Linked DNA regions of Medicago truncatula. Each later gene encodes a partner of the first gene's protein in a complex. Links are inferred from orthologs where the notes say so. Each region holds a gene or a part of one and is shown on either strand. Other genes may lie near its edges. The genes, in order: actin-related protein 2/3 complex subunit 2B, actin-related protein 2/3 complex subunit 3 and actin-related protein 2.

What was found.
Region 2: actin-related protein 2/3 complex subunit 2B (region 1) and actin-related protein 2/3 complex subunit 3 share a complex: the UniProt entries of both Arabidopsis thaliana proteins name them as parts of the arp2/3 complex. The link is inferred for Medicago truncatula from reciprocal best matches to the Arabidopsis thaliana genes arpc2b and ARPC3.
Region 3: actin-related protein 2/3 complex subunit 2B (region 1) and actin-related protein 2 share a complex: the UniProt entries of both Arabidopsis thaliana proteins name them as parts of the arp2/3 complex. The link is inferred for Medicago truncatula from reciprocal best matches to the Arabidopsis thaliana genes arpc2b and ARP2.

The regions. Positions count from the first base shown.
Region 1 is NC_053042.1:17,367,861-17,378,570, forward strand, and holds the start of actin-related protein 2/3 complex subunit 2B, read right to left. Parts: upstream 4,006-10,710; 5' UTR 3,914-4,005; coding exon 3,855-3,913; intron 2,443-3,854; coding exon 2,376-2,442; intron 2,159-2,375; coding exon 1,954-2,158; intron 1,496-1,953; coding exon 1,329-1,495; intron 506-1,328; coding exon 428-505; intron 345-427; coding exon 212-344; intron 1-211. Other genes in the region: protein FAR1-RELATED SEQUENCE 5-like, read left to right, coding at 9,756-10,710. UniProt on the Arabidopsis thaliana protein: Functions as actin-binding component of the Arp2/3 complex which is involved in regulation of actin polymerization and together with an activating nucleation-promoting factor (NPF) mediates the formation of branched actin networks.
Region 2 is NC_053045.1:56,010,096-56,020,839, reverse strand, and holds actin-related protein 2/3 complex subunit 3, read left to right. Parts: upstream 1-6,301; 5' UTR 6,302-6,577; coding exon 6,578-6,580; intron 6,581-6,668; coding exon 6,669-6,777; intron 6,778-6,865; coding exon 6,866-7,135; intron 7,136-8,557; coding exon of another isoform or gene 8,558-8,604; exon of another isoform or gene 8,605-8,930; intron 8,931-9,145; coding exon 9,146-9,288; 3' UTR 9,289-9,628; downstream 9,629-10,744. Other genes in the region: monogalactosyldiacylglycerol synthase 2, chloroplastic, read left to right, coding at 1-252, 504-676, 993-1,154, 1,252-1,393, 1,477-1,701, 1,792-1,854, 2,086-2,160, 2,248-2,505; nucleolin, read left to right, coding at 10,741-10,744. UniProt on the Arabidopsis thaliana protein: Functions as a component of the Arp2/3 complex which is involved in regulation of actin polymerization and together with an activating nucleation-promoting factor (NPF) mediates the formation of branched actin networks.
Region 3 is NC_053048.1:9,626,866-9,637,227, reverse strand, and holds the start of actin-related protein 2, read left to right. Parts: upstream 1-5,420; 5' UTR 5,421-5,546; coding exon 5,547-5,588; intron 5,589-5,796; coding exon 5,797-5,907; intron 5,908-8,795; coding exon 8,796-8,930; intron 8,931-9,019; coding exon 9,020-9,091; intron 9,092-9,167; coding exon 9,168-9,246; intron 9,247-9,567; coding exon 9,568-9,617; intron 9,618-10,362. UniProt on the Arabidopsis thaliana protein: Functions as ATP-binding component of the Arp2/3 complex which is involved in regulation of actin polymerization and together with an activating nucleation-promoting factor (NPF) mediates the formation of branched actin networks.

The DNA.
Region 1 (10,710 bases):
TTTTCATTAGCTATTCTGGAAAGTTTATGAAAATGTCGTAAGTTGTTTCCATAAGCTCTCTCAAATAGTCTCACAAGTACTTATGTTGGTATATAAGTTCAAATAAGTCAGTCCAATCAGATTCTTAGAGTTCAAAACTATGATCATGTAATCAAGTTATCGCTTGTAGAGAAGTAGTTCATGGAGTAATTGCTGAAAGAAAATAGTATACCAAAAGAGACAAACCCTCCATTTGTACTCAAATCCTCTAAAGCTTCTCCTGTCAACTCTGGTGGAGGAATGGCTGACCAGGTGCAAGGTGGTGTCTTTACCCATTTATCTGAATTTCCAACATCCACGAGCTCCTATCATAGGTAGTAAAACAAGTGAGCTGAGAGTATATTGGGTTGAAACTAGATTACATATTTTTGATTTCTTAGCTGCAAACCTGAAAGAAAGCCGTGGCAATAACGACGTCGAACTTTTCTTTGAAACGAATTGGGAATATTGCTATGATTCTCTGTTGCTGTATGCAGTATATGATCAATATTGAATCAGTAACTTGTAAGGCATTAGAATATGAACAACTTTTGCTGACCAAATACAATGGTGAGCTGTCTTTGGTTACTAGTGTATCATTTTTTGCTGGAATGTAACTAAATTCGGAAATATTTTCTAAACACCTACAAAATATAAAAGGAATAGATTTTCATAAATAGTTTTGTTGACTACTCAAACTGTGATTTATTTAGAATCAGTAACTTACTCCAAGTTGAAATAATTGATTGATGATGTGATGCCTCACAAGTTTACAGTATCAATATCATCATTTCATGTTGGTCCTCACAAGTTTACAGTGTCAAGCCAGTGGTAAGGGTTTGACCTATAACTTTATGGGATGTAGTTCGAATCCCCTTGGAGACCGTTGTAAAATGACTATTAGTGTCACTTTGATGATTAATAATAATGTTTTAGGTTGTTTGTATGATATCATTCCATATAATGGTAATCTTGTTCATTTTATTCAGAAGTCTGTTTAGAATCACTTATTTGAGTTTACCTACTGACAAAAACAGTTGTGAGACTATTTGAGAGGACTTGTAGAAATTAGAAATAGTTTATGACATGTCCATAAGTTGTTTTTAGCTTATTTATATAAGCTCTCCATGATAGCTTATGATAACATCTTAAAGTTTTTGTAAAAACAATTCCACTTTATTTTATCTTTTGTTATCGAAATAAGTTATACATAAACACTTATATGATAAGCTCTTATAGGATAATTAAGTCTCTTATCCAAACATGACTTTTTTATGACAAGTTCAAAGCTTTGATTACATAGAAATTACCTGCCTGATGACAAAGAAGGGTTCTCTTGGATGATAAACTAGTTTGATGGGTTTGTACATCCCCTGAGATGCATCATCAGAATTCACATTACACAATATTTCTTTCAGCTGTGAACTTATAATTACTGATTGAACTGTGGAAATATCCTCAATGACCTTGACATAGTCTGGAAACAAGAATTTTTCATCATCAGACAGGTTAAAATTTCAACTTAGCTGATGTGAAAATCAAACATTAGCAAGCTGTATAGACTATAGACCCAAAATTATCTGAATCCACTAAGCTTTTAAAGGGCATTAGTTGAACACAAATGTAGCAATATTATCAATTCTGCACAGCTCATGAAATAGTCTGTTGAGTATAAATGATGTCTTTAGTTTTGAGCCGTCCAACCGTGAAACCAAACACGGTCTAATTAACATAATTTTCAATTCACTAGTTAATTCTCATTTGAAACAAAACTACATCATCAAACATCACTTTGCAAGTTTACAAAATGAAAACTTAGAAGCACTAATGCATATAAATTTTTATTATGCAATGTCATGATTATCATTGGTCTTGCTTTTTAACAAGTAATTATTATGCAACCCAACCACTGAAAGTTAATTAAGGCAAACAAACCTTTGTTTCTTGGAATCTGATCTAGGTTAAGCTTTAGAGTAAGCTGGTATCCTTCTCTAGCAGGTTCTTCAATCTCCACAAGGTTGGGACAAATTCCCTTCACCATTTCAATGGTGTATGGTGAAAGATTATTTGGTAGGTTTCCATGGTAAAGCGGTGGTGTTGATATTGACAAGTAAGCCACCAGTGGATTAGTGGCTTGAGACTGTAAAGTAAGAGAAAAATTATCAAACTTTAAACTGAAGCGAATTTCTTTTCTCAGCCCCTCATTTCTCAGAGCCGTCTGGTTGGTCCAGATAATTCAGACCAACCAGAGGCCTTTGAGAAGTGCAGGGTCGGAAAAGAAACATTGCAAAAATTATCAAGTAGCCATTAGTAGATCAAATATCAAACTCGTATAAGTGAGTGGAGGAGAGTTTCACCTGAATGTGGTATTCCACTGATCCAAATTCGTATAAGTGATGATCAATCTCTATAGACTTCTCAGCACTGTAATAAAGTGATGAATAAGCATTTCAGCAACATTTTCTAAATGAAGCATTGCAACAAATCAACTATCCATCTTATTCTAATTTGAGCATTGATGCTGACATTTAGGCACATACCTAAAGATATTTATCAATTAACTATTTGAAAAATACATATTTAATTATTCATTTTTCTATCTTTTCTTAAATATGTGGGCACGCCCAAGTGAACTGTCTAAATACTTGTAATCAACCAAATATTTTTCTTGGTAGTCTAAATCACTTGTTTGATTAGGAGTTTGTGTTTAATGACTAGTGTTATGTTGGTGCTTTGGATGGTGATAGGGGTGGTGTGTTTGTTTTGTGAGGATTTCTCCAATGGTCACACAACCATTTGAGCACGATATTTAGACACGCTCACATATTTAAAAAAAAATAGAAAAGAATTAAAAAATGTGTATTTTAACACAATTAAGTGTGTACTCAAATGTTGTGTCTAAATCATTGTGACCATATAAATATTTTCTTAGTTTAGTGCTTGCAAAAATATCTTAGTTCTCTTCTCTTATGTGATGTTGATATAGGGGAAGCAGTTGGTTTGATAACAATTTTGGAGTATACATCAAATCTTCAATTTGATAACATAGATTTTGCATTAGAGTATAAAAAGGGTGTGGATGCTTTTAGAACAGATGTAAACGATAATAGTGAATTTGGTTGTATAGTAGATACATGTAGACAGTTGTTTTAAAATAGATTTCAAAACTCTCATGCCGAGATTAATAGAAGGCAAGCTAATGAGGTTGTTCACTAGTTAGTTCAAATAACCTTATATAATATTATTTTTTTTGGTAGTGAGCCTCATATAATACTAATGAAATGCATTGAATTGCTTCCTTAAAAAAAAATCCTAATTTAATTATTGTTTGGTTTTGGGTGTTGCGTGCTTCTTAAGTTTTGAGTTGTTTTGTTTGACTTTTCATGATATAACATTTTTATTTTTCTTAGCCTATATTGTACTTCAAATTTGAGTATTGATACATTCTTTTGACTTATTAAAAAATTCCAACTAAGATTTAAACAATAATTTATCACGTACATAGAAGAGCATCTTCTTACTTTAGAACAAAAACAACTTTCTCATTCCTCTATAAATTAAATACGGCTATATCTATATTTCAAAACGATAGATATAATAAACAACTTTATTCTTCATTGAAAAATACTTTATTCTTATGTTCCACATTTTATTAATCTTAAATTTAAATTCTTTTATCTTTCTCTCTTTCTTAAGCCAAAACAAAGAGGCTAGATATAATAAACAAAAAGAAAAGAACACAAATAAATTACAAATTTAAACAACTAAACCTTGACTTTTATTTTTATTTTTTAAATACTAAACCATGAATGAACAAGTATAATGTAAACACTTACCGATAAAGCTTGAGCAATATTTGTTTTAGAGCAGGAGATGATCTCTCAATGCATGCCATTCTGATAAAACTGTCTTCTTTCTCTTCTCAAACTGTGTTAATACACATTTTATTGTTTATTATGAACTATATACAATATGAAATTCTCAACTGTTTTTTGATTATGAAGTTTGAGTGAAATGCAAGTTCGGTGTTGTAATCATGTTTGGTAATCTTTGAAGCAAATCCTCATAGCCACCCTCTTCCACTCAACATTCTTTTTCATTTGCTTTTTTTTTTTTTTTTTTTTTTTTTTGTGTCATTTTCCCTTCTATTCGACTCCTTCATTTATATTAGAGTTAATAGTGTTTTTTACCCCTGTAATATATGTCATTTTCGGTTTTTGCCTCTATAAAATTTTCGGTTTGATTTGCACCCTCGTAAAATTTTTATTTTCCGAAAAACACCCTTAATAGGCCATTCAAAAACCAAAATTTCTTGAAATTTTTTTTGAAAAATGGCCTATTAGAGGTGTTTTCCGGAAAATAAAAATTTTACGAGGGTGCAAATCAAACCGAAAATTTAATAGGGGCGAAAACAAGAAATGACATATATTATAAGGGTGAAAAACACTATTAACCCTTTATATTAATTTGTCCTAAGTTCATGTAACTAACTGTAAATTATTATAAATCGTAATAAAACAATTTTTTTTTTTTTGAAAGAATAAAACAATTATTTAAATATATATAGAGATTCAATTACAAATTTTTTAGTTCAAGAAACTAATTAATATAGTATTGATAATTTTAGAGACAATCACAAGCTTTTTTAACATATTTTTTTAGAAAATATTTTATATAAATAGATTTCAACGGGTCGTTAATTTTTTTTTTTGGTAGATAGAAGAAATGGTAAAACCATCGTAAACTCATATATACAAGATGGAGGTACCGAGGTTCGAACCCCAATCATCGGTCTAACAATTGAGGTAGGATTTATGAGACAACGGCTCGTTAAAGTTAACAAAAACAAAACCGAAATGCAATTCCACACATGCTTTTTTTTTTTTTTTTGGTCAAGTAACCTAGTGGCTAGAGAAATTCACCTTAAAGATGAATAAGTTAGGTGTCCGGGGTTCGAACCTCAACCCCTGCACATTATCCCTTACCAAATGAGCTAAACTCATGGGGATCCACACATGCTTTTTTTAACAACTGTTGAATCCTCTAAATCTCCACTTCTACCACACGCATCCAAGCTAATTGCAAGCCTTCCAACACTCCCCGATAATTCTACCACATACGTAGAGTAGCTTCTTACAAACTTACTTGAACCACATTAGATTGACCTTGAAACAAAATAAAAGTAAATTAATTAATAGTACTCTCTCTCTATTACATATTTTTCCTTTTTTTTTAATCACATATATCTTATTTTGTTTTTTTTTTTTTTTTAAACTTGATATCCGATCCAAGAATCGACTATTTTGAGGGGATCAATCATTCTGCCCATGCGGGGATTCTATCTTGCATTATATGAGACCTTAAGAAGAGTAACCTTCAAGATCCCAAACCAAACATTAGGTCAATCCCAAATGGATTTTGAAAATGTTTACTATTCAATTTCCTACAGTTCAGTTATTTACGATAATAATATAAATGCATATTTTTTTTTAATTTCGTTGAAATGATTAATAATAGACTAAAAAAATAATTGTATTTTTTTTTTATAGTTCTTAATATCAATTTTAATTAAGATTTTACGAAATTGTGACAAAAGTGTATAGTGTAATAGAGTAAAAAAAATTGTGATTAATATCTTAACTACTTTCTTGGTTACATTATAAACAATTTTTATTTTTTTCAGATTCATTAAATAAATTATGTATCTGGACTATATTATATTTTAGATATATCATATATTATATTTTAGATATATCAATTATTTAATAAATTTTAAAAAATAAAAATTATTTATAAATGTGACCGAAACAGAGACTACTATTTAACTAAACAAGTAAAGTTTCCAAACAAAAAGTTTAAAATTAGATTTAAAATAGAGAACATCAAACATACAATTGAATTGTAAACAATTACTAACTGAGAAATGATATTTGAACATTCATTTGGTGATAATTATTGTGACAACTTTCTCTCTCATACTCACATTATTTTTTACTTTATCTTTCTATTGCTATGATTTCCGTGTCAATACTACTTTTTCTTTGTAAATTTTAATTGTCAAATAAGTTGTCACCAAATTAATTCTTCAAATAACACTCCTCTACTCAACCACAAGACAACGCTCATATTTTCTTTGCTACCTCTCACACCAGACATAGAGGTGTGTGACCTAAGAAAATATTTGTTACATATTATTGAAATGTAAGAATCTTGTCATTTAATCATTTAATGCAGTATAGGAATCTTGCGTCCATGTTCAGTGGATTACCTTTTAGGTCAGTGCAAAAGAAGCCAGAAGGGTTCCTCTCATTGCACAACGTATGAACCCCACTTTTTATGCTGAAAATGATAGTTTGTCGCAAAAAGGATGATGATAACAACACCACACCATTCTTCTGTCGCTATTAAATGAGAAAATAAAAACTAAGAGAAATGATATTTGTACAATTATTTTTTAACAACTTTTAGACAACTTTCACTCTCATACTCAAATTATATTCTTACTCTCTCTCTTTCTTTTTCTCTCTCCATTGTTTTTGACCAATGAAAAGAGAGAAAAAGGAGGTTGTCATAGAAATTGTTAGCAAATGGTTGTTCAAATATCATTGCTCAAAATCAAAATAGCCTTATAACATCAAGAAAGAATGAATTGTCAAGAAAAAAGACATCAACAATGATATATAAAAAAAAATCTTTTTTAAATCGTTATTTATATTTAATTAAATGAGAAATTGCTATAAATTATAGGGTTAAATATGTTTTTGGTCCCTATAAATATACCAATTTTTTCGTTTTAGCCCCTCTAAAATTTTCCTTCAACTTTTAGTCCTCCAAAAATTTTCCATCTTCACTTTTGATCCCTCTTTTAAAGTAAACTCATATGTAGAATTCACATTTTTAAATAAAAGTTTGAAGAAAAATTCATAATATTATAAGAATCTCTCCTAAAAAAATTTAGAATTTTTTAACAAAACATGAATTTAATATGAATTTTTATATTTTTGATGGTTAAAAATTCATATTAAATTTATGTTTTGTTAAAAAATTCTAATTTTTTTTGGGAAATATTTTTACAATATTCTACACATTTCTGCATAATTTAATTAAAAAAATACTAAAATTAATTTAAAAATAGGGACTAAAAGTAGTGATTGAAAATATTATAGGGACTAAAAGTTGAAGGAAAATTTTAGAGGGACTAAAACAAAATGTTGGAATATTTATAGGGACTAAAAACATATTTAACCCTAAATTATATTTGTAGACAAATTATTGAAATATAAAAGTATATCTTGACATATTTTTACTTAGCTTAATTGAACTTTTTCCCCTTCTATTTTACCATTTTAATAAGATTTTTTTTTTTTGACAAACCATTTTAATAAGATTGATTGCTCCATTTTTAAACTTAATATTTTGGCTTCTCTATTTTCATTTTTTTACGATTTTTCCCCAACCATTATTTCATCTTCAAAAATTGTGATGTTTAGGGTGGATAAAGATAAAGACATGTAGAATACATTTTATTCTTATCGGGTTATTTGTAACAACAGTGACGAAGATTTTATGTTTAGGTCATTGGTCGAAAATATTAATGTGTTATATTATATCTCTATGTTCGTTTCAATTGCAACTGTCTAGATTGTGAGTAGAGATTTGATGTCATTTTGTGGGCTTTTAACTTTATTTGTGTATTGTTGTGTAATGTTTTTTTTTTTTTTGACAGAGTGTATTGTTGGGTAATGTGTTGCCTAATGCAACCACTTTTGTTGAATTTCAATCATTCGTGTAATGTTCACGTGATGTCGAATTGATTTAATCTCATTGAATCATGAAAAGTTATGTAATTTTGTTGTTTATGACTTGATATAGTATTGGTTTTACTTCCTCTTGGATTGTCATTCTTAATTACAAGTTATAACATACCGAAAATGACTTGGTTTTATAATGCAGAATGCGTTGTCTACGTTACTGATAACAACGGTAGTTAACTACTGCTAGAAGAACGGTAGTTAACTACCGTTGAAGCCAACTTTAAACTGCAGTTAACTATCGTTGAAATAATAAAACGGTGGTTAACTACCGTTGAAGATAATTCCGTAAATTCCATGTGTTTTTAAACAATTACACATGTGAGAAAAGCTATTTTCTCATTTAATTTCGGTGTAGTTTTCTTATTTGTAAGGCCTTAATTAAGCCCACTTTGTAATATAAAAAAAAGGAATGGAGTGTGTTTTAAATAACAAGACAGTAGAGTGTAATATCTCTCTATGTTTCAAGGAAGATAACCGTAATTTACTCTAATAATAATAGTAATCATGAAGAAGATGATAGCTAACCATACATCATGGATTTCTTTACATGTAAAAAAATATTTCTTTAAATACAGATCTAAGTAAAAAATTGCAGCCTTAGTTAACAACTTATATCCTTGAATTCAACCAATAATTTGAGCGTCAAGGTTGAAGATCCGGAATCATGTGAATTTCAGTGACTTAGGTTTTATCATATTATTTGTAGGCATTTTGCCGTTTTATGCTATTAACTTGGGTGCTGTGAGTTTGTTTGCAGATTTACCATTTACGTTTTTAGTGATGTTTGTATATGATGTAATCTATCGATTTGAATGAATGAATATCGTTTTGTTTTGGTCTGGAAAAAAAAATTCCTTGAATAGGTAATAAACCCAATATAATAAAACCCGTGATCAAATTTAATTATGAGAAATACTTACTTAGTTATAACCACAAATAATTTTATTTGTATACACTCACACAAATAAAAAAAAATAAAGAAATAAACATTTATCTATTTTGTTATTTTAAAAGATGAAATGATTAGTATTTTATGTGTGTGCTCAAATACATTTTATTTATGATTGTGTATGTATTTCTCATCAATTATGAACAAGTTTCAGATTCTACTTAGCAACGTTCCAAAACAAACTTTCTTAAATAAGGAAAGACGTTAAGAATTCAATGGTGTCATGCAGGATGAAAGGACCTACCATAACCTGTAATGTAACCACACTATGCTGTCTTTTTGGATTTGGATCCTCAGCTGCAGTATCTTCTGCTGCAATGTCTACTGCTAAATTTGAGCCATTGGATTAAATAAATAAATAATTAAAATAAATAATAATAAAAATATGAAAACTGCCCAATTACATCATGTCGTGTGCGCGTTATTTTGTTTCTACCAGGGAAGTTATTCATTGTTGCTGCAAAAACTAACTAGCTTGTGCCAAAACACAAAGAACACTAATATTCAATTGCCCTTATTTACTTTTTCGATTGTCTCAAATCTCAGGTACGTCTATTGTTTTTTCTCCATTGGTCATAACTAATTTCATATGTTGATCCATTTCTTTTACTTGTAATATTTTTCACTTGCTTGTCCTCATTACTTATATAAGAAACAAATTATTTCACATGTTTGTCCTCATTCACTTTTATGATTACAAAAAACTAACCAACAGAGTTGAGAATTGATTTTAAAATGTGATACATTAAATATTATATATATGTTTCTTTTGTGAGTTATATATACTCTTTTACGTTAATTTAGATTGTTTATATTCATGTATAATTGTTTCTTTTGTGAGTTATATATACTCTTTTACGATGATAATTTAGATTGTTTATACTCATTTATAATTAAATAAGGTATACATTTGGCTACCGCAAATAAGATATACATTTTTTGTTTTTAGGAATTTTTAAGACTTTTGATACAAGATGAATGAAGATTGGAAGCCAAAAGTAGATATGGTTTTCTGTAGCTTTGAAGATGCTTGGGAGTTCTGGAACACTTACGGTGGTAAGGTTGGATTCGGAGTGAGGAAAGATTATACACACAGAAAAAAGGATGGTTCAGTTTCTTCTTGTAGGTTTGTTTGCTGCAAAGAAGGCATGCGAAAGCCAGACAAGCGAGATTATAAAACAAAGAATCCAAGACTAGAGACCAGAACAAATTGTGAAACAAGGTTAGGACTTAAGAATGTGGATGGAAAATTGATGGTGCATGATTTTGTGGAGGACCACAACCACGAGTTACTTTTGCCAGAAACAACTCATATGTTGTCGTCTCAACGAAAGGTTTCTGAAATTCATTGTCAACAAATTGAACTAGCTGATAGTGTCGGTGTACAACAAAAGAAATCGTTTGATTTATTGAGTAAAGAAGTAGGAGGCAGAACTAACTTGGGTTTTATACGTCTTGATCAAAAGAATTATCTTCGGAAAAAAAGAGAAAGAAGTTTGGTACAAGGGGAGGCCGGCTATTTATTGCAATACTTTCAAAGAAAGACGGTAGGAAATCCAACTTTCTACCATGCTTATCAGCTAGATATTGAAGATCAAATCACCAATGTGTTTTGGGCAGATGCTAGGATGCTGGTTGATTACAGTTATTTTGGTGATGTTGTTTCTCTTGATTCAACATATTGCACAAATAGTTCGCACAGACCACTAGCAATCATCTCGGGATTTAACCACCATCGAGGAGCCGTAATTTTTGGAGCTGCATTATTATATGACGAAACTGCTGAGTCATACGAGTGGCTCTTTGAGACATTTCTAGAAGCACATAAGCAGAAAATGCCTCAAACAGTTTTTACTGATCAAGCCAAATCAATGGCAAAAGCATTAGCCGAGGTTATGCCTGAAGCTTACCATGGTTTATGTACGTGGC
Region 2 (10,744 bases), on another chromosome or scaffold:
CTAAGAAAGTCTATAGTGGAAAAAGTGTTTGGAAAATCGTATTCCATTAAAGGCAGTGGAAGCTTCAAGAAACGTAGTGAGTCTCAAAGTTCTATCAATGAAGATAATGAAGGTGGCATGGAACTCATGGAAATTGGAGCAGAAAGAACAAAAAATGTGTTGATTCTCATGAGTGATACTGGTGGTGGACATAGAGCTTCTGCTGAGGCTATTCGTGATGCTTTTCAAATTGAATTCGGTGATGAATACAAGGTACTTTAATCACACTTCCTTCTGTTTTGGATCTGTTGCAGCTTTTGTTTTAAACTGTGTAGATTTTGTTGTGTTAGAGTTTTCTGATCTGTATATTTTTCTATGGTTCACATGTTTTTGTCGTGTCTTACACTTTATTTGTACGGATTTTGTCGTTAGGTACAATCTTTTTCTTGGAAGCTATCTCTCTAAAGTCTTAAACTTATGTTTATGTTTATGTTTATGTTTGTATGCTAATTTTGAAATTTCAGATATTTGTTAAAGATGTATGGAAGGAGTATACAGGGTGGCCATTGAATGATATGGAAGGTCAATATAAATTCATGGTTAAGCATGTTCAGTTATGGAAGGTTGCGTTTCATAGCACTTCCCCTAAATGGATTCACTCTGTCTACTTGGCTGCCGTCGCTGCCTACTATGCAAGGTATATTCCTCTTGTAATGCTTTATACTTTCATGATTAATTATGATTATTTCACTTTGCTCACTATTCATTTGTTGATAATTTCTATAATAATCATTCTTTATTGCTTTGTTAAACAGCAACAATTATTTGATTTGACATCTTTGGAGAAATTCATTTTAAACAAATAAATATCAACTAAACAGTTGATGTCATGTGTATATGAGTAACATGATATGCTGGAACATCTATTGTTGACTTAATTAGACATTTTATGTTTATGTAATCATAAGTGGTGTTTTCTGATTGACAAACTGTCATTGTACTGTAATTTTCAGAGAGGTGGAGGCAGGGTTGATGGAATACAAGCCAGATATTATAATCAGCGTCCATCCCATGATGCAACATATTCCACTATGGGTTTTGAAGTGGCAAGGTTTGGAAAAGAAAGTTATTTTTGTCACTGTTATTACAGACCTTAGTACCTGCCATCCTACTTGGTAAGTTCATGCTTCATGGTAACTGGTTGTTTTTCTTGCCTTAATGTCAAGTCGATTAATTAATGCTTAAGTACTCAAATTTTTAAGCTTTTTGCAGGTTTCATCCTTGGGTGAATAGATGTTACTGCTCGTCAGAGGAAGTGGCAAAAAAAGCCTTACTAGAGGGACTTGAGGAATCTCAAACCCGAACTTATGGCTTGCCAATCCGGCCTTCTTTTGCTCGTGCAGTTCTTGTTAAGGTATTAAGCATATTTAAGGTGTAAGTAAGTTCTGTTTTGATCTCATTGATGGAACAGTGGAACTGAGTTTCTGTTTATTGTAGGATGAACTAAGAAAAGAACTTAAGATGGATCCTGACTTGCCAGCGGTTTTACTGATGGGAGGTGGTGAAGGAATGGGTCCGGTCAAGAAAACTGCAAAGGCTCTAGCAGAATCACTATATGATAAAGAAAATGAGAAACCAATCGGGCAGATTGTAGTCATATGCGGTCGCAATAAGAACTTAGTAGCTTCTGTGGAAGCTATCGAATGGAAAATACCAGTGAAGGTAATAACTAATGAGGGAACAATTATCTACAAGTGAGCATAATAGGAAGACAGCCACTGAAAAAATGTTAATGTTTCTTTGTTTGTCTAGGTTAGAGGATTTGAGACAATTATGGCCAAATGGATGGGAGCATGTGACTGCATCATATCAAAAGTAAGTTATACCGATTTCCTCTAATGATTTCATGCAGGGTTTTAAAAAAAGGTCCAAAGGTGATGATACAGGCTGCAACTTTATAGTTTTTGACGTCTTTTTGCGTTTGAGTCTGTATCAGTCACATATGATTGCAATTATATGCAATATCAGAAAACGCGACTTAAAAACCCTGCTTTTATATGTTACTTTATATGCTAGCATATGCTTATTGATTCTGTGAAATTTCAGGCTGGACCAGGAACAATTGCAGAAGCATTGATCAGAGGTCTTCCTATAATCCTCAACGACTATATCCCTGGACAGGCGAGTTATTAAATTATTCCCGTCATTGTATTTCTTACTTTCTCATTCCAACCTTATATTGATTCTGAGCTACTATGGTAACTACAGGAAAAGGGTAATGTGCCTTATGTGGTAAACAATGGAGCTGGTGTCTTCACTCGCAGTCCTAAGGAAACAGCGCGAATTGTTGCAGGATGGTTCACGACAAAACAGGACGAACTAAAGACAATGTCAGAGAATGCGCTTAAATTAGCGAACCCTGAGGCTGTGTTTAACATCGTGAGGGACATTCATGAACTTGCTAAGCAACGCGAGCCGGGGAACTTTCCTTACGAGTTGACCTCATCATTTACTAGCATAATCTAATTGATTGTTTATCGGTTCATCTTTCACCTTAGTTTTTTATTTTATTTTATTTTTAGAATTGACATGTATAGTGAATTCTTCAAGTTACATCATTCTTTACCGTATAGTGGCTTGCTTTTAGTATCATCATAAGCTAAAAATCTGGTAAACAGGCCATTGTTTTAGGAGACTGGGATTTATTTAGGATATTTGTGGGAGAAGATGGGTTTGTCTTGTAACTGTGACATGGTTTCGCATTCTAGTGTGTATATCAGGTTTTTCTTCTCCTTGGAACTCTATACCTTAAAGAGTACAAGTTTTCAGCTATTCCGCAGTACAAGATATCTTTAAGAAGCATGTCATATCAATTCTTACCTTCAAAACCTGAATAGTTTGCAGTTATAAGGTTGCTTAATGTCAATAACAAAGTGTAACATAAGGTGATTATATTTTATATATCCTTACAGTCTTAGCTTTGAGACTTTAAAGGCATGACCAAAGACAATTTGAGCATAAGCAAAGAAATCAACGTATTTTGCTTGGATATTTGAATGGACAAAACTTAAATGCAGGAACATAAAGAACATACATTGCATATAAGTGTTGCCCTTTTTGAATTTGCCGCATTTCTTATGAAGATGAAAATATAACAGTGAAAAAGAAGGGTAAAGTTGACACTCTTTTAAGCTATAGTATGTCCATTAATATAGATTTCAATTTTACCAAACACAATCACACAAGTTTATACTTTATTGTTCTGTTTAAAGTGACACGTATCATGAGTATCAGAACTACCAGCAACTGCAAAAAAAGCAAAACAGAACAGGGTGTAGAAAGCTGTTAGATAACATGCGACCAAAGGACTGGTAGTTGTTGATCCTTGAAAAACCTTTGAAATACTATCTTAGAAAATGAAGCAAAAAAACCAGAAATATATATTGCTTACTAGTAAACCACTACTTATTACAGGTGTTTATTGTCAACTGTTAGTTGGTGACAGATTGTTATCATGCGAAAACACATACATTGATTGAGTGAGACAAAATAGCACTGTTGTTTTAAACTGTATTTCCGCTTGCACTTGATCATATATTATTTTTTTAGATATATATGCCATGTTGAGTAAGATAAAGCCAAAAAATAAGGTAAAATTCTACAGCATATATAGCAAGGAAACCGTGGTTATTATTTTAACTTTGCCACCACTAGGATTTGGAACTAATGAATTGAATTTGGAAAATGATTCTTGGTGTTGATGTCACATAAAGTTCGTAATGTGTAGTACTTCCAATATTTCTAATGTTTTTCTCTACCTCAAAATTCCCAAGTGGCCAATAGTATATTTATTTTTGTTGAATGCGACGTATTTTAATACTCACACACGATGACCACGAAGATGTATAAGCAACATCTGGATTAAGAAACATAAATATCTGGAAAATGAAAATCAGATGTATATTATTCGGACGCAAACAAAGTCTATAAAATACATTCAATAAATATAAAAATGAAAAGCGTGTGTTGGCGTCAACTTTTGTGTCGATTTCATATTTCTTCATAAGAACATAGCATGTTTATAGCTCAAATTTTTGTTCTTTACAAAAAGCTTAGCAACAAAACTCACATGTTTATAGGTCCATAAATGTGTCCTACTATCTTATCAAAAAGCTTAATGGTAAATCTCACATCACATCCGCCTGCGGAGAAAGTGAGCATTGCAAGTTTAAACATTTGTTCCATCCAATATATCAAGTATCCCCACAACCTTTCATCATTTGGATTGTATTTATGAGTTATAAGTAAAGTCAAAATAAAGATTATTCTTTGATCAAAATTTGAACTCAGTTCTACCGATTCGATATACTCATTACCCACTCCATCCAACCACGTGGTTAAAGTTAACGAGTTAATAAATTAACTCATATATTGGTTATTTATTTTATGCTAAATCACCGTCAACGATTCGACATTGATGGTTTTGTGCACTTTTGATTCTACCTTATAAAATTTTAATTTTTTAAATTTGATTTTAGTAAAGTGAGTTGAATACAGGGTTGGTCCTAAAAAAATTTGGTACCTTGGATGAAACAATAAACACTAACCATGCCTTATAAGTGAAATAATACAAGGGAGTTCAAAACAAGTTGATGGTCAAAACCATCAAAAGAAAAGTTTGACAGATATTTTTATTATTAAGAAAATAATTTGTATTGTTTATAAAAGAAGCATGTGAAGTCAGCAATCTTGGCATTTAGGCTGATTAGCTATTCGTCATCATCACTCATAAACATAGACAAAAATTAATAATTCTCTTGATGTTCCCCTTTCTTAGTATGTTGCGTGAGGGCAACCGTTAAAAAGATAATATATCCAATGTGAATTTTGTGGCAACTTGCGCTGCAAGGCAAAATATTACCTGTCAAGAAGGTAATATTGGGGCCATGCTTGCATTGGACCTGAAATTATTGTGGTAGCAAATTCACACCATTTGCCGTAATAGCAAAGGTCAGCCATCGATCTATGTTATGACGGTTTCAAATTCATAGCACAATTTTCAATAGTGTCACACAATGTTAGATCTTAACTGTTCATTTTAAATCGAACGGTGCAAAATATATAACTACTATGTCCCGTAGTAAGTGCGTTATATCCAAATCCTACTTGCATTATGAGTGCAAAGAAGGTTTCAATTGGCCAAATGAATTTGAGTTTTAGGTAGTCCAGGCCACATCAAACATTTGTTTTTTTTTTGGTTAATTTTTTATGGTATCCGACTTAACAATTTCGATATTTTGCCAGTTAAGTTAGAACTTGTGTATCATCAAACATCCGTTCAACATTAATAAGAATAAATTATTAATTTACTTTTGAAAAACCATCACTATCTCTCGAATTTTGTCCATAAACTATATAAATTTAATATTTAAATATGAATTTGATATATGCAACTATACAAGATGGTATTTTTTTTTGTGTGTTAACCCTCCACATCATCTCTAGAAGAATGAATTTTGTAATTCGGAGTTCGTATGGAGATAAATAAAGGTCAACAAGAATTGTTACACAAAAAACTAAACAAATTCAAATTCTTCTTAACAATTTGTCATCAGCGAAGTTCATTAATTAACTATCTGACTTGATTGTTTGATTAATATGTTTATTCTAATAGTAATAAAATTAATTTACCCTACATGAGTAGCACATCTTTGAGTTAATTTAATAAATAATGGAAAATATATTCAATATTCAATGTTTTTAAAAATCGTTTTTTAAGTGCAGTTTAGTTGATAGTTCCATGAACATTAAAATACAAGGGTCAAATTTAAATCCTAAACTTTCAATTTTTACTGTGAGTCTAACTATTAGACTACTCCACAACAAATTTTTTTTGTCACACAAGTGTGCACTCAATGTATTAATAGTAAAAAAAAATGGTTTTTATTTATAGAGCACAAAGACCAAGATGAATTCTAATATGGTCACAAGATCAGATAAATAGTGTTTGAACATACATATATAAAAAATATATTTTTAATAATATAAATGATATTGATAAAAAAACAATTGAATATTTTGAAGATAATCTTTTATATGTATATGTTCAAGCAATATTTATTTAGTCTTAAGAGATAGAAGAATAACTCTACCCATAAATAAAACTTGTGCCTTAGACATAAGTTAAGGAAAAAAAAAAGAATTAATAAATTAATTTTATATTAAAAATATATTTCTTAAACTTTTTACATCATTAAATACACGAGTTCTAAGAATTTTTTTTATTTTTAACTTATTAAGTTGGTGCTTTATGAGCGAGGGTTAACATTTCCCATAAAGAAATGAATAAACTACTCAGATCCGATTTTACCAAAGTTTACGTGTTGACAATCCCGATTTCATTCGATGTCCCAATAATTCTTCACTTCAAGCTCTGCACAATTTGTTTTAATCAAACTTATCATCGAAATCCCAAACAAGTGCATACTATTTACGTGCCTGTATTGTTTCTTTCACATTTCCACAAACATTTGGTGGGTTTCAATTCAATTCTTTGAGTTCTCACCTAACCTTCTTGTTATCATCACCACATAGAAACATGGTACGTCAATTCATTTCATTCTTATTCCTAATAATACCCTAATTTTGATTCCCAATTAAATTAATTGTTTGTTTATGTATGAATTAAGGTTTATCACTCTAGTTTCGTAGACGATGAAGGAATTAACAGAGCTTGTGGGTGCCCTCTTCTTCCTCTAAAAAGTCACATTAAGGGTCCAGCTCCTGTTTCAGATCAAGGTTTTCCTTTTCCTTTTCAATTCATTGTTTTTTGTTTTCTGCGTTTTTCAGAATGTGAAATATGTATTTTGTTTGTTGTGAATGGTAGATAGAACTGATATTGTGGATGAAGCAATCACATTCTTCAGAGCCAATGTGTTCTTCAGAAACTTTGATATCAAGAGTCCTGCTGATAAGCTTCTAATATACTTGACTTTTTACATCAATGTTGCTCTCAAGAAGCTTGAAGGTTGTAGAACTTTGGCTGAAGGAACCAAAGCAATTATCAATTTGGGTCTTGAAAATGTTCCTGTTCCTGGAGAGTCTGGTTTTCCTTTTCCAGGACTTTTCCCTCTTCCTCAATCACACAAAGAAGCAGGTACCTATTCCACACATATGCTTAGTTTATTTAGCGATCTAATGTTGCAATGTGTTATGTTATATTGTATCATTAGTTGTATTTTGTTAAGTAGTTTCAATTGTCTTCGAACTTGTATTTATTTCATTCAGTTTCTTACTGATGGTTTTGATGATTTGATAGAATCTTTACATTTGCTACCTTAATATACTTTATAGAGAAATGCTATTTGTTACGAAGGATTTATACAAAAAAAAAAAAAAAAAAGAATTCCTAAAAATAGGAGATTTGAACGATCAGGTTTTGGCTGACCATACATTGGGGAGTGGGTGGTTATTATTAGGAAGAATTACATAGTATTCTTGTGTTTATTGTAAACCTTCTCTTGTAGCAATAAGCATTTTCCTACTTTAAATCACGTGATTAAATGAGTGGCTGAGTGTGCTTATGTCTCGTTGCATGGCTTTTGTTTGAATGATAATATACTGTATCACTACTTGCTTCGGTTGACACTAGGAAAATAGACAACAACCATTCCTTGTATTTTATGGTTAGATATGCATATGATTACTGTAATTAGTGAGTAAATACCCAAGTTGGTCATTGAAATTGCAAGACTTTATCAACCTAGTCCTTCACATAATCAATATTCCTAACTGATCCCTGAAATTGTAAAATGTTACTCAACTTCGTTCTTCCGTATATACTATCAAATGCATCCCTGACATTATTCACTTAGTTCCAAAATCCTTCTTGATATTACCAACTTAATGTCATTCTAGTCCCTACAAATAACAACAATGGGACAGATTTGATGAAATTTTGTAATTTCAGGGGCCATTTTGGAATATCGATAATGTGAGGGATTAGATTGGTACAATCCTACAATTTCAAGGACCAAATTGAGTATTTACAGTACTCTTTAATTAATCATCTAATATTGTGATGTGTTATGTTCTATTGTATTATCAATTGTATTAGAACTTCGAGTTTTTTCATTTAATTTCTTACTGAAAATTTGATAAAATCTTTACATTTACCACCTAATTCCCTTTAAATCAACAGAATGGCCAAGTGTGTCTCATTTGCGACTTTTGTTTGAATGATAACACATCGTATCTAAATATCAATGGTTGGTTGGGTTGATAATAGGAAAATACATGACAACAATTCCTTGTATGAACCCCTTGGATTAGTCAGTCCTTGGGCCAAATACCGAGTTTTCAAAAAAATAAAAAAGGATATTATGCATAACACCGGAATGAAGCTAGATGGGCATGTGTCGGTGCCAAATGCTGATGCGTCGGCATTGGTCATGACTCATGAGACTTCTAATTAAATACTCAAGTCTGGAAACTCTTGTTCAGAAAGAGAGAGGTTCATTTTAAATAATTGAACAATTTCTAATTGGGTTACATAATCTGGATGTTGTAAATTTTGCAGTGGTCCTTAGGTGGACTGGGTGTTTGGATTTCAACTGCAAGAAATAGAGGATGATAAATTTTTCCCACGATAGAGTACAATTTGTACTTCCCTTATAGTGAAAGCTCCTGAGAATGAAAACTTCAGTTGTATTTCTTTTTGCATGTGAAATGAATTTTCAGAATGTACTTATACCAGTATATTAAGGTTTCTTATTTCCTCTTATATTTTTGTCTTTGAGCCTTTCTGTAGAGTCAAGCCGAGTGCATTTTTACTTATTTATGCAACTAGCTGATGATCTATCGATGATTGAACTGTACATTTTAGCTTTTGGTTTTCTATTAAATGTGACTGTAACCAATGTTTCTTGATGCAATTGCATTTCTTTACATGATAGTTTGATTGGAAAATTGTATACATATTGAGATAGCTGACTGTACTCCACATGCTGGCTTACAATGAACTTGATTTTTTGTTGTTTTGAGAGGACATTGAACTTGAATATTGTTGTTGTGTTCAATCTGGTTGATGCATTATTGCAATTCAATTAACTTGTTTGTAGAACACATGTAGTCTTATATGTAAGCTTTGTGATTTCAACAAATGCAGAATTGTTTAGAAATTATTTGAAGCAGATAAGGGAAGAAACAAGCGGAAGGTTACTAAGCGTTGCATACAGACCTAATGGCACTCCAAATAAATGGTGGTTGGCATTTGCAAAAAGGAAATTCATGAATGTAATCACCCGTTGAACTGTTTTGGCAAATATGTAATTGCTTGAATCATAGATTAAGCTGTCAAAAATACACTTCAACACTATTGATCTACCAATAAAAAAATATAATAATTCTTGAGGGGCATGTTGCTTATCTGTTTTGAATATTTTATTTTGAAAATCCTCAACTACTGCTAGCTAGGTAGAATTCATAATGGCAATCGTTTTCACGTCTACTTTGCTCCTCATGCTGAAGTGAGTGATCATAATTGGGCTATAACCCTAACCTTTGCTTGTGCCGGTGGTGCTGGTCATGTTTAGCTGTTGTATTGTCCATGAAGTTATAGCAGAATTGCATCATCTATACTACTGCTTCATTGTATCTCCAGTATTATATAGTATGCATTAATGTTCACTACTATACCTTCAAGCTTCAAGATTTATTTTACTTCTGTAAAAAAGAAAAGTTTTCTTTTATTTCATTTTTCAGAATACTAATTCTTCGCGGTTGTTAAATTTGATAGCTATTTTTTTTTTTTTGTTAAGTAGCCTAGTGGTTAGAGCTCACACAATTTAATTGTGGAGAAGTGGAGTGTCTGGGGTTCGAACCCCGACCCCTGCATATAATATGCAATATCTCTACCAACTGAGTTTAACTCACGGGGATATTTTGATGCTATTTTATTAGAGCTCAAACTGGTTTTTGCAAAGCAACTTTACACTCTTTCTAAAAAAACCAAACGTATTAAAGTGTACTTTCGGTTAGGAGAAAATTGCGTTTTTTTTTTTTTTTGAAGTTATATTTTTGGTGGAAAAGAATTTCTTTTTTTATAATATATAAAAAACATATAATTTTAGAGTGACTTTTATTTTGTTCCATCTTTAGAAGTGACTTTAAAACATTACCATCACAGATAATATTTGATAAAAGTACTATATTCTTTAAGTGACTTTAAAACATTTATTTAGAAGTGACTTTAATTTTTAAAGTTAATTTGCTTAAAGTACTTTTCTTGTTCTGTATTTAAAACATTTCTATAGCTTTCTTGATTTGTATTAAATAAGCAAATGCATCTGTCCTTATAAGAAAAAAAATACTTGATAATAACGAAAATATAAGTGAAAATCGGGAAAACGACAAAATGTAAATCTATTTTTTTAAGTGTATTTCATAAGGTTTCGTTATAACCATAAAAAATAAATTTTATGTGATGAATCATACGAAATAAAATAAGAAATACACCTAATATAATAATGTAATTTTGAAACGTAAAATTGTGAAAAAAATAAAAAGAAGAGGCGTGGAAGTAAATAAATAGGGGGTGCAAAGGCAATATAGCAGCAAGTCCAAGTTAGTTCGTCAAAACCCTAAAACGGTGGAGTACGTGAGTTGAGTTGAGTCCAGGGTTTACTCTTTCTAATCATCAATTCAATTCAACACCAAACCTATTGTTGTTGACTCCTCTCTCGCTCTCTCTCTCTTTCGGCAATGG
Region 3 (10,362 bases), on another chromosome or scaffold:
ACTTCCCATTCAATTATGACTCAATATTTCAAAGGATCCGAATGTTAAAAATGATCAAAAAGGACAGTTTTTGGAAGAGAATTGATGAAGCTTATAATAACCATCACGACAAGAATTTTCAAGATAGGAAACCAATGAAGCTAAAAGGTTGATGGCACAAAAAGATTAATCCCTCTGTTCAAAAGTTTGTTGGATGCTACAAAGATGTTGTCGCTATAAAAAAAGCGGTAGCTGCAAGATCGACACAATTTCAGCTGCAAATGTTTTTTGTTTGACTTATATTGAAAAAAGAATTCTATATTTACAATACATGAAAAAATATTGCAAAACTACCCTACTTTTTATCTTTTCCATTGTTCCCCGCTAACCTCGCTTGAGTGGTATATTTCCCAGTTGTTTTCACTTGTGGGTATAGCACAACAAGCCTGAAATTTGTTTTTTTTTCTTCTATTTATGGGCCCCTACAAAACTTACTTGCAGGGTGTAGAAGGTTGTTTTTCTTATTTGATCTACTATTGATACTTTCAACAGTGTCACATATTCCGTGTACTACATCCTAATTCATGACAAGTGAGTTTCTAATATCTTCAAGAGGGATGATATATATACCACCCCATGTGACAATACACCTTTTACATCCACACAAAATTCTGACATGCGGCAACTTAAACCCCACACAAATAGAAGATAAAATGTGGTTGTGAGATGAACTTACCAAAATATCTCTAATGCATGGGTGTACAATAGGATATAGGAATAAAGGGTGTTCATGTAACATTTTCCTATCTCCAAATTCAACATAATTACACTGTTCGAAATAACAATTCTTCACACTCTAATAGTAATATCACACTACAGTATCAAACTCTAATAACTCTAAAAAACACACTACAATTTCAAACTCTAATAACTCAATTTAATAACTCGTAACATTAAACTCACAATCGACATATTAATTTATCTATCAACCTTTCACCTGAAAATTTATGCATAAATACCACTTTTTTACTCACAATATTCACTTAAGTTACCGCTCTCAAACTCTTATTTTTACACTCAATATTCTCATATTACCCGTCTTCTCAATTATTTCTTAAACAATGAATTATTTATGGTTAGGAGATAATCATAGGTCTAGGCCACAACACCTTAGATAATGGGTAAAATTATATTTTTAAATCTCTTTTATTTTGTTTTTTATTGTTTTAATAATTTTTTCTATTCTCTTATTTTTTTTAAATTTCGTTTTTGATATTATGTTGCTTATTAAATTCAGTTTTATATTCGGTTAATAATTATGTAATATTTTTTTTATTATGTTTATTTTAACCTTTTTCTTATATGCTCCCTCCGTTTTTGTTATTTTGATGTTTTAGAACTTCAACTATATTCCAAAATATTTAATGTTTTAGTATATGTAATATTTTTTTTTCAAATTTACCCTTGTTGAAAAAGACACCATAAAATTATTAAAGGAGTTGTGACCTTTGATTTATCACATGTGAATTTAATTATAATAAGGACATTTTAGTCCAAAACATACAAATATTTATGTACTTTAATTACTTCTTAAGATTTGTACCAAGAGCTAAAACATCAAAAGATAAAAAATAGAGGGAGTATCTCTTTATTTATTTTTATTAGGATGAAAGCAACAAACATTTCAACTTCTCATCTACAAAAACACAAAGAACCAGTCTACTAATTTTAGGGTGTGTTTGGCCCAGTTTTTTGAAAGTCTAGAAGCTACTTTAAAACTAAAGTTGCTAAAAAAACTTTATAAATTAAGTTAAAGTTGATTGGTAGTATCTATTTGACAAAATTATACAATTTATCTTTTAATTTAATTTCAGTTAACATTTTTGTCCCTTAATTTTTTTATTTAATCATTTATGTTATAAAATATCAACATCACGATCCTTCCTTTATTAAAAAGATTAAAACTAAAAAAAAAAAATCATAAGCAAACTCATATCTTCATCACACAAACCTATAAATCTAGATTTCATTGAAAAATCCTTATAATGAAAAATCAAAGAAAAAAAGAATGAAAAAAGATGAAAATATGTTTATATTGTTGGAATGCTGAGTTGATTATAATGAGAGAATATTTTTTAGGAATTCTAGTTTTCTTTTTGTAAAAAAAGTATAACGATATTGATTTTATAACATTAGGGAAATGAACTGATATATAAAATAAAATTTGCTTGAATAATAGATAAATTGAAGTAAACTTGGACCGTCATAATATTCCTCAAGGCTTAGAAGCCCTCTAGAAGGACTCAAACGCCCTCCGGACGGGCCCAAAGACCCTCCAGAAGGCTCCTTGGGCTTAGGCGCGTCCTCCTGAAGGATGCCGCCTTCTTCAGCTTCTAGAAACCACCCAAAGTACCTAAATACCCATGTTGCTTGGAAACCAAGCAACAAGAGCCCAAGCCCACAGCATGCTATAAATACCACTCTTGAGATCATTCTCAAGGATCGGATAATCAGTCTAAACCCTAGTTTACGATTCTTAACCCTAGAATCTCTTATTGTGCTTTTTGCAAGTACAAAACTATCCCGCAAAAAAAATTGAATAAACTGGGTGATATGTGAGTAATACATATGTAGGGAATTATTAGTAAAATAATAATACAAAATTGTCTTTACCAGGGTTCGAAGATGGAAGCACATGTAAATGAAGCGCATAAGTTGATACAAAGTTCCTTTCAATTCCTTTAATTGAAGCTCCTATAATTAAATTTTTCTTCTTTGAAAATAATTTACTTGTTTTAGGAAGAGCTTCTCCCAAATGTTGTTTGCCCCTACTTCTTCTTTAAAGTAGAAGGGAAGTCAAGAAAAGGCAGGCCAAACAGACTCTTAGACCAAGCAGGTTTTCTCCATGTTAGCAACATAAAAGAGTACAAAATGGATAGACATATCCTAAATGCTCTAGTTGAAAGATGGAGACCCGAAACACACACGTTTCATTTTCCAACGGGTGAATGCACCATCACCTTGGAAGATGTATTCATGTTACTTGGTCTAAATGTTAGTGGATATGTCGTTACAGGTGTAAAATCAATTGAGAGGCCACTGTATGATGATTTTTTGGGATTAAAATTCCATTGCGAAATAAAAAAGAGGGTAAACATGCTATATCAATGTCACATTTAGCACAAAATCTCAATAAAGACCTCATTGCCGATGTGTTGGATAAAATAAAAATACAAGTTACTAGGCGGTATATTCTATGGCTAATCAATGGTTTTTTATTTTCAAATTTATCTGGAATAATGTACATAATTGTTGGTTGGCCATGGTAGTTGATTTTAATGATACAAAACAATATAGATGGGGATTAGTCGTTTTGGCCTATCTTTATCGGGGAATGTGTGAAGCAACAAACCCTAAATTTGTATGCTTAGCTGGCTGTAATTTTCTCCTGCAAGTTTGGGGATATTCAAGGTTGGATTATTTGGCTCCCAAAAACATAAAAGAACTTAGTTTTCCATTTGGAACAAAGTGAGTATATTGTTATTATGTTTTTAGTAGTATTTGTTCACATTTGAGAATGCATAGAGATTACTAAAAGATGAACCCAAGTACATATTTGTCATCTTCTAACCCACAGACACCAACAAGCGAATACAATCCACCATCACGTGAAATTGGTCAAAAATCAGCCAAAAGGAAGGAAAATGAAAAGATTGTGCATATATCTATTCCTAAATTTGATGCTTTGAAAAATGACTTGAACAAAAAATTTGAATTAATGTCAAGGTTTGCGCGTGATTTTGCACGTACTGAGAGTGAAAAAGTTGAGAGAGAGATGAAAATGGTTGATGTAGAGCTACACAAGACTGAGAATGATAGGGAAATGATGAAGATCATGATTTAACAATACTCTAAAAGGATGTATCAAATAGGAATACAAGGTAATTACAAGATTATGAATTTTTGTGTGGCATGATTAGACATAAATATGAACTTAATTGATATTATTATTTATGTTAGACTTAATCGATTAGAGGGATATTATAATTTTTAGTATATGATTAGCAATTTCTATGTATGTTGTACTTAATTATTATTTATGTTTTATTAATTTATATTTTTATAGTTTTAGTATATGAAATATAAAAAAAGCTTCAAGAAATATGAGCAGCATATTGCAGTCAATGTGTAAGACTAATTATAGTATACGCAGGAACGAAATAAAATGAAATATTGCAACCAATTAAAGTATAAACCATATTATAGTATTTGAGACGTGTATTGTATATAAACCCTATTACACTATTTAAAATCATGAATTTTAGTTGAACTAGCTGTTATTCAAACTCAATTTTAGTCAAACTAGCAGTTACAAACTAACCGTTACTCAAAATAGCCGTTATTCAAACTAGCAGTTATTCATATCCCTATACATGTTATAACATATATAACAAACTTCACAATCGTTTCCAATTTCATTCCCTTAAAAAAAACATTTTCAACTTCTCTCTTTATTCACATTCAATATCAAACTTCTCTTCATATGGATCCTTCCAATCCATCCCATGTTGCAAAAATATTCATGGATTATATGAATGACAACATGGATGAAGACCTTGTGAGGATTTACTTTGAAAGTAATACACAAGAAGAGTTTGTGAGCTCAAGTAGGTCCAGACGCCAAAGAAGAAACATAGAAATCATGAAGAAGGACATGAACAGTTATTCAATGATTATTTTTTAGAAGCTCTAGTTTACACGGATGAGCAATTTCGTCGAAGGTACCGAATGCGTAAACATGTTTTCCTTCACATAGTTGAAACTCTTGATCAACATGATGAGTATTTTCAGCTGAGGGTTGACGCACCGGGTAGATCAAATATTTCACCCATAAAAAAATGCACTGATGTTATTTGTATGTTGGCAGATGAAACATCTGCTGATAGTGTGGATGACTATTTGAGAAATGGTGAAACCACGACACGAAAATGTGCTGATAAGTTTACAAGGGGAAAACCGTCTCAATGCTGCAAAGAGAAAAGAGAATATTGTTTGCCCAATATCAAGAAGGCTCAAGGAAGGATATCTACACAGACTCACCATTGGATTAGAACAATTAAGTTTGAATCTGATAAAAAAACTAGGCAGGAGACAAGGGCATAGTGAGAGTAACATCCAAAAATTGCTTCTCTTCCCTCTTTCTTCGCACATGAACGAAGTAGAAAAAATAGGTGGGACCCATAGTACTTTTATCTCTCTCCCTAATTTCTCTTTTGCACCAAATGAGAGAAAAATCATTCTTCTCTCCTTATTCTCTCTTGCCTATTTCATACCTACCAAACAGACCATTACTGTTTCATGTTTTTGCAGTATTAAACCTTCAAAAAAAAAAAAAAAAGTTTTTGCAGTATTAAGAAATGAAACGACAAAGTAGTGAAGTCGTTTAATCAACTTCCACTGACTAGACATTCTAACAAAGAGTCCCCACCCACCCCCCAACCGTGCTTGCTGCTCACATCTCCGCGCGAACTCAAACTGAAACCCAATTCTACCGATCGCACCTCATCATGGACAGCAAAAACGTCGTCGTTTGCGACAACGGAACCGGAGTACCTCTCTCTCTCTCTCTCTCTTCAATCTCTTCATTCATTTCAAAATCAAACTACATTTCAATGGATCCAATAAATTACCGATCTCAAATTAGCATCAAACTTTATACATTTCATTATTTAACACTTTATGTTTCTTCTACTTATAATGTAATTGTTTTATTTATTTAATTCATCATTTATTTTGTGTTTCTATTTAAAATTTCAGTATGTGAAGTGTGGTTTTGCTGGTGAGAATTTCCCGACTTCTGTTTTTCCTTGTGTGGTGGGGAGGCCAATGCTCCGATACGAAGAATCGCTTACCGAGCAAGAGCTAAAGGTATGCAAAACATGATTACTAAGTTTTTTCAATTATGATATGTATGTAACTTGTTTGATCTATGAGATCAAATGTGGTTGTTATTATTATTATTATGAATTTCAATGTTCTTAGTTATTAGTGATTTTCCATTCCTAGTTGTTGAGAGTCACACATTGATTAGAGGTAGTGGTTATAAACCATTTTTGTGGGATGAGTTAGACACTATTTGGATTGACTTATTTGAGCTTATCTACTGATATAAGTTTTCTGAGACTGTTTGGGAGAATTTACGAAGGAGACTGTAGATACTGTAGTTACAAGAGTAGATCAGAAGAGGTTGAGGAAGACCTAGGAAAACTATAAGAGAAACTTTTAGGAAAAATTTAGAGGTTAATGAGTTGGATCCAAATATGGTTTATGATACAACATTATGGCGTAATTTGATCCATGTAGCTGACCCCACTTAGTGGGATAAGGCTTCGTTGTTGTTGTTGTTTGGGAAAATTTATGAAAACAACTTATGACAATTTTCCCAAGTTCTCATATGTTGCTTATTAAAACAACTTATAGCATATAAAAAAGAATTTAACATCATTTTATTTTTTTCTATAAAAGTAGCTTATGCAAGCTTATACATAAGCGATTATCATGATAAATGTTTGCGCTATAAGCTGCAAATAAGCTGTTTATCCAAACAGGCCCTAAGCCTAAACTGTAAGATGATATAAGAGCTTATTCCAGATTTGTTGTTGGTCCAAGATCTCTGTATAGAAGAAGATTATTATTTTTATTGAATAACAATAGAATGACAATAAAATAAAAAAGATTTATTTTTATTCATAATAGGATCCCAACAAAAGCGAACCTCGCACATAGGCAAGTTTTACCACCGGAGAGCTCTTTACACTGTGTGATGGGGTGCTAGAGTCGGCCAGCCATTTGTTCCTACATTGTTCTTTTGCGATGAAAGTGTGGGATGAAGTTAAGAGATGGCTGGGTTTTCATTATGCGACTCCACCTAATTTATTCTTTCTTTGGGATTGTTGGGATAGAGTTTCGACCAACAAAAATATCCGGAAAGGTTTGAGGATGATTTGACATGCGGGGGTGTGGAGTATTTGGAGGGCCCGAAACGACATAATTTTCAACAACTCGATTGGTGAAGTGGAGGAGGTAATGAAGGATGTAAAGGTTCTGTCGTGGAGATGGTGTTTAAGTCGGTTGCAAGGGCCGGCGTGGTTGTTCTATGAGTGGCACTGGAATCCAAAAGCATGTCTGCTGCGTTAGGGGCGCTGTGTTTTCGAGGCTGAGGCTGTGGTATGCGGTGCCTGCGGTTAGGTTGCTGTCAGTAATGGATATAACAGCATAAGCTTTGTTGGGATGCAGCATGTTTTCGGCTGCTGTCATTTGTTTTAGCAAGACTAGGTTTTTTGGGCTGATATTGGTGCTGTGTTTTTGGGGTTTTCCGGTATGTCGGTGACCTTGTATTATTGTTTTTCTGTCCGCGAGTTTGTTGTGCATCTTGTACACTCTCGACGTGAATAAATTTTGCTGATTCTAAATAAAAAAAACTCGTAGGGTGTGAAGTAGGAGGAAGAGTAACTTATACCATCAATGACAATGTTAAAGAGTGAGAAGAAGAATCACAGAGAGAGAATTGGGATAGAAAAGGAGTGAATTCACTTCATAAATCATCCATTCCTTGGTTTCACATTCCCCTCTCAATTCAAACAATCTCTCAGCCATGAGTTTAGCTTTGCCTTTGCCCACCTCTCACCTCCTAATTTTCATGACTTCCTCTAGCCTAATTTTGATTCCTTGTAATTGCCTTGCTGTCGATTTCCTTCAGCTATCGATCCACCATTCTCTAATCGACTTGCCTTTGCTGGCAGTTTCATTGCACTATGTTATTCTACGTGCATTTGTCCACATTTCAAATGTCGGTTTTTGGGGTTTAGTTAAATCCTAATTTCAAATTCTAAGATGATATTAGAGTCTAATTCATATCTTTTATTAGGCCAAGAATTTTCCACTTGCACACAGTATTGTTAAATGGCAGCATGGCGGAATGGCGTGGTGGAATTTTTGAAAACTGCCATGGATAGTTTGCGCAGGAATGCCCACCACAGGCCAACTGCTTGCTTATGTGGCGAACTTTTGGCCTTTCGTTTATTCCATTATCCGCCATCGAAAACACTGCCTGCAATTTTCCATGCTCCAAATGTCGATTTGTGGGCGTGAGAATGTAATAGAAATCTACAAGTGGAAATGAACAATGGGAAAGTATTTGAAGGGAATTGATTGTATTTTATTGATTGAAATGATGAACTCAGTTAAAAATAAGTATCCCTAAACTGCCAAGAGCAATGCTCCTTACAGAGTGATTCTCTCTGTCCAATATAAAATGTAACTCATTCTTTCGATACCCTTCTTACTCCCTACTGCTCCCATGTATTCGGAACTACCAGCACCTCATGCTCATGCGCTTGACAATTCTGTTACACAAGTTTCCAGCTCAGCTTTTCCATTTTCTCTCTTATTCTTCCTCTAATAGACCCTCCACACAGTCGGCCTCACATTTGGGCCTGCAGATAAATGCACTTCCGTATCAGAACGTATCCCCATTATTCCACCCACAGTAATCCACACTTTAGAATTCAAATGTCCATTTCTAAACTTAAGGGAGTGTGTTGAAAATATCGCCTATAGATATGTCCTAGGTAGTGTTTATAATGCTTTGCTTAGGTTGTTTTTGTCTTACTAGTCAGTTTTGCATTGTTGAATTAGGCCTTAAGCCTAGACATCATAAACAATTACATATACACTTAATTACCCGTTTTTAAGATGTTGCTCGGGTCTCTGTGAGATTTATTATTTATTTACTATTTAAATTATGTTCTATTTAGGATATTGTTGTTGGCGAAGGATGTGCAGACCTGCGGCATCAGCTTGATATATCTTATCCTGTGAACAATGGAATCGTCCAAAACTGGGATGACATGTGTCATGTGTGGGATCATGCATTTTACAACGAATTAAAAGTAACCTTCTGGTGCTTCTTTCTCATTGCTCTTTCAACTGTGAATATTTGATTTCGTAGCTAACTCTGGTACACGATTTTTCTTGACAGATTAACCCACAAGACTGTAAGATTCTACTCACTGATCCGCCTCTTAATCCCTCAAAGAATCGCGAAAAAATGGTTTGTGGGCCAATCTTGTTACCTTTTGCTAATTTGTTTTTTGCATAGTAATTGTTTATGTGATTTGACCTGGCAGGTGGAGACAATGTTTGAGAAGTACAACTTTGCTGGAGTGTTTATCCAAATCCAAGCTGTTCTAACATTATATGCTCAAGGTGCTTATAGAGATGAGTGAAGGTTGATGTTTTGTTGTTTATTCACCTCATCCTAATTAGTTTACACCTCATAATTGCTATTACTCATTCTTGGAAACTACAAACTCTAATTATAACGTATTTACAAACCTTTGATATTTTATAATGCATTATGATTTTGTTTTATAAACCATATGCAGCAATGTTATATATCCTAATTTGCAAGGCTTTGAAATAGGGCTAATTCGCGCTTCCTTTATTATTAGGTCTCTTGGGAAACTTATTTTTCCTTTATCAGTATGCATTCTTTGTGCATTCATAACATTTCTTTGGTTGTCTCAGGTTTGCTGACTGGATTAGTTATAGACTCAGGCGATGGTGTCACTCATGTGGTAATTAATTAACGTCTATGCTTCTTAATTATAATTCTGGTCACTGCAATGGTTATTGCTGGGTCCTATCTCTTATATTTTTATATAACTATGTTGTCATGCTCTACAAGCTTATGTCCTTTTGGTTGCTCATAACAATTGGTGGATTTGATGAGTTAAGTAACTAAATCAAACATTTGACAATTTCATAAATATTCTAAATGATATTGTATGTTAATCTTAAGAAATACTGACCGACACAGAAATACTATATGTGCTGAGAAATTCTATTGCAAAGTTGGTTATGGATGAGTTGGATGGATTAAAACCTGTTGCAAACCGTTCCTAGATGAGTTGGATGTAACTTTGGACGGATCCCAAGTTGGATATGGATGAGTTGTTTTTCTTAACCTGTAGGGTGTCATGATTACACTGTCATCTGGTACATAGAAAGTATTCATACTACAATCACAAAGGGGGAAGCACCATGTGGAGGCCTAGAAAAACAAGAGTTTGTTGTTAGTTTACTCACACAGAGAAGACCTTTTTCTTGGATAATTACTTACTCACACAACTCTGTGGATGTTATTGCAGTTAGTTCTTTCAGTTCAGTGCATGAAAATTGTCATCAGTTTGTTTAGCATTGCTCATAACTTCATTTTTATGGATTGCTTATTTTTTAATCATTAATATTTAATATACAATTTATAATGTCATTGTAGATGAATGTATGCATGTGTCTCTGTATCATATCATAACATATCCT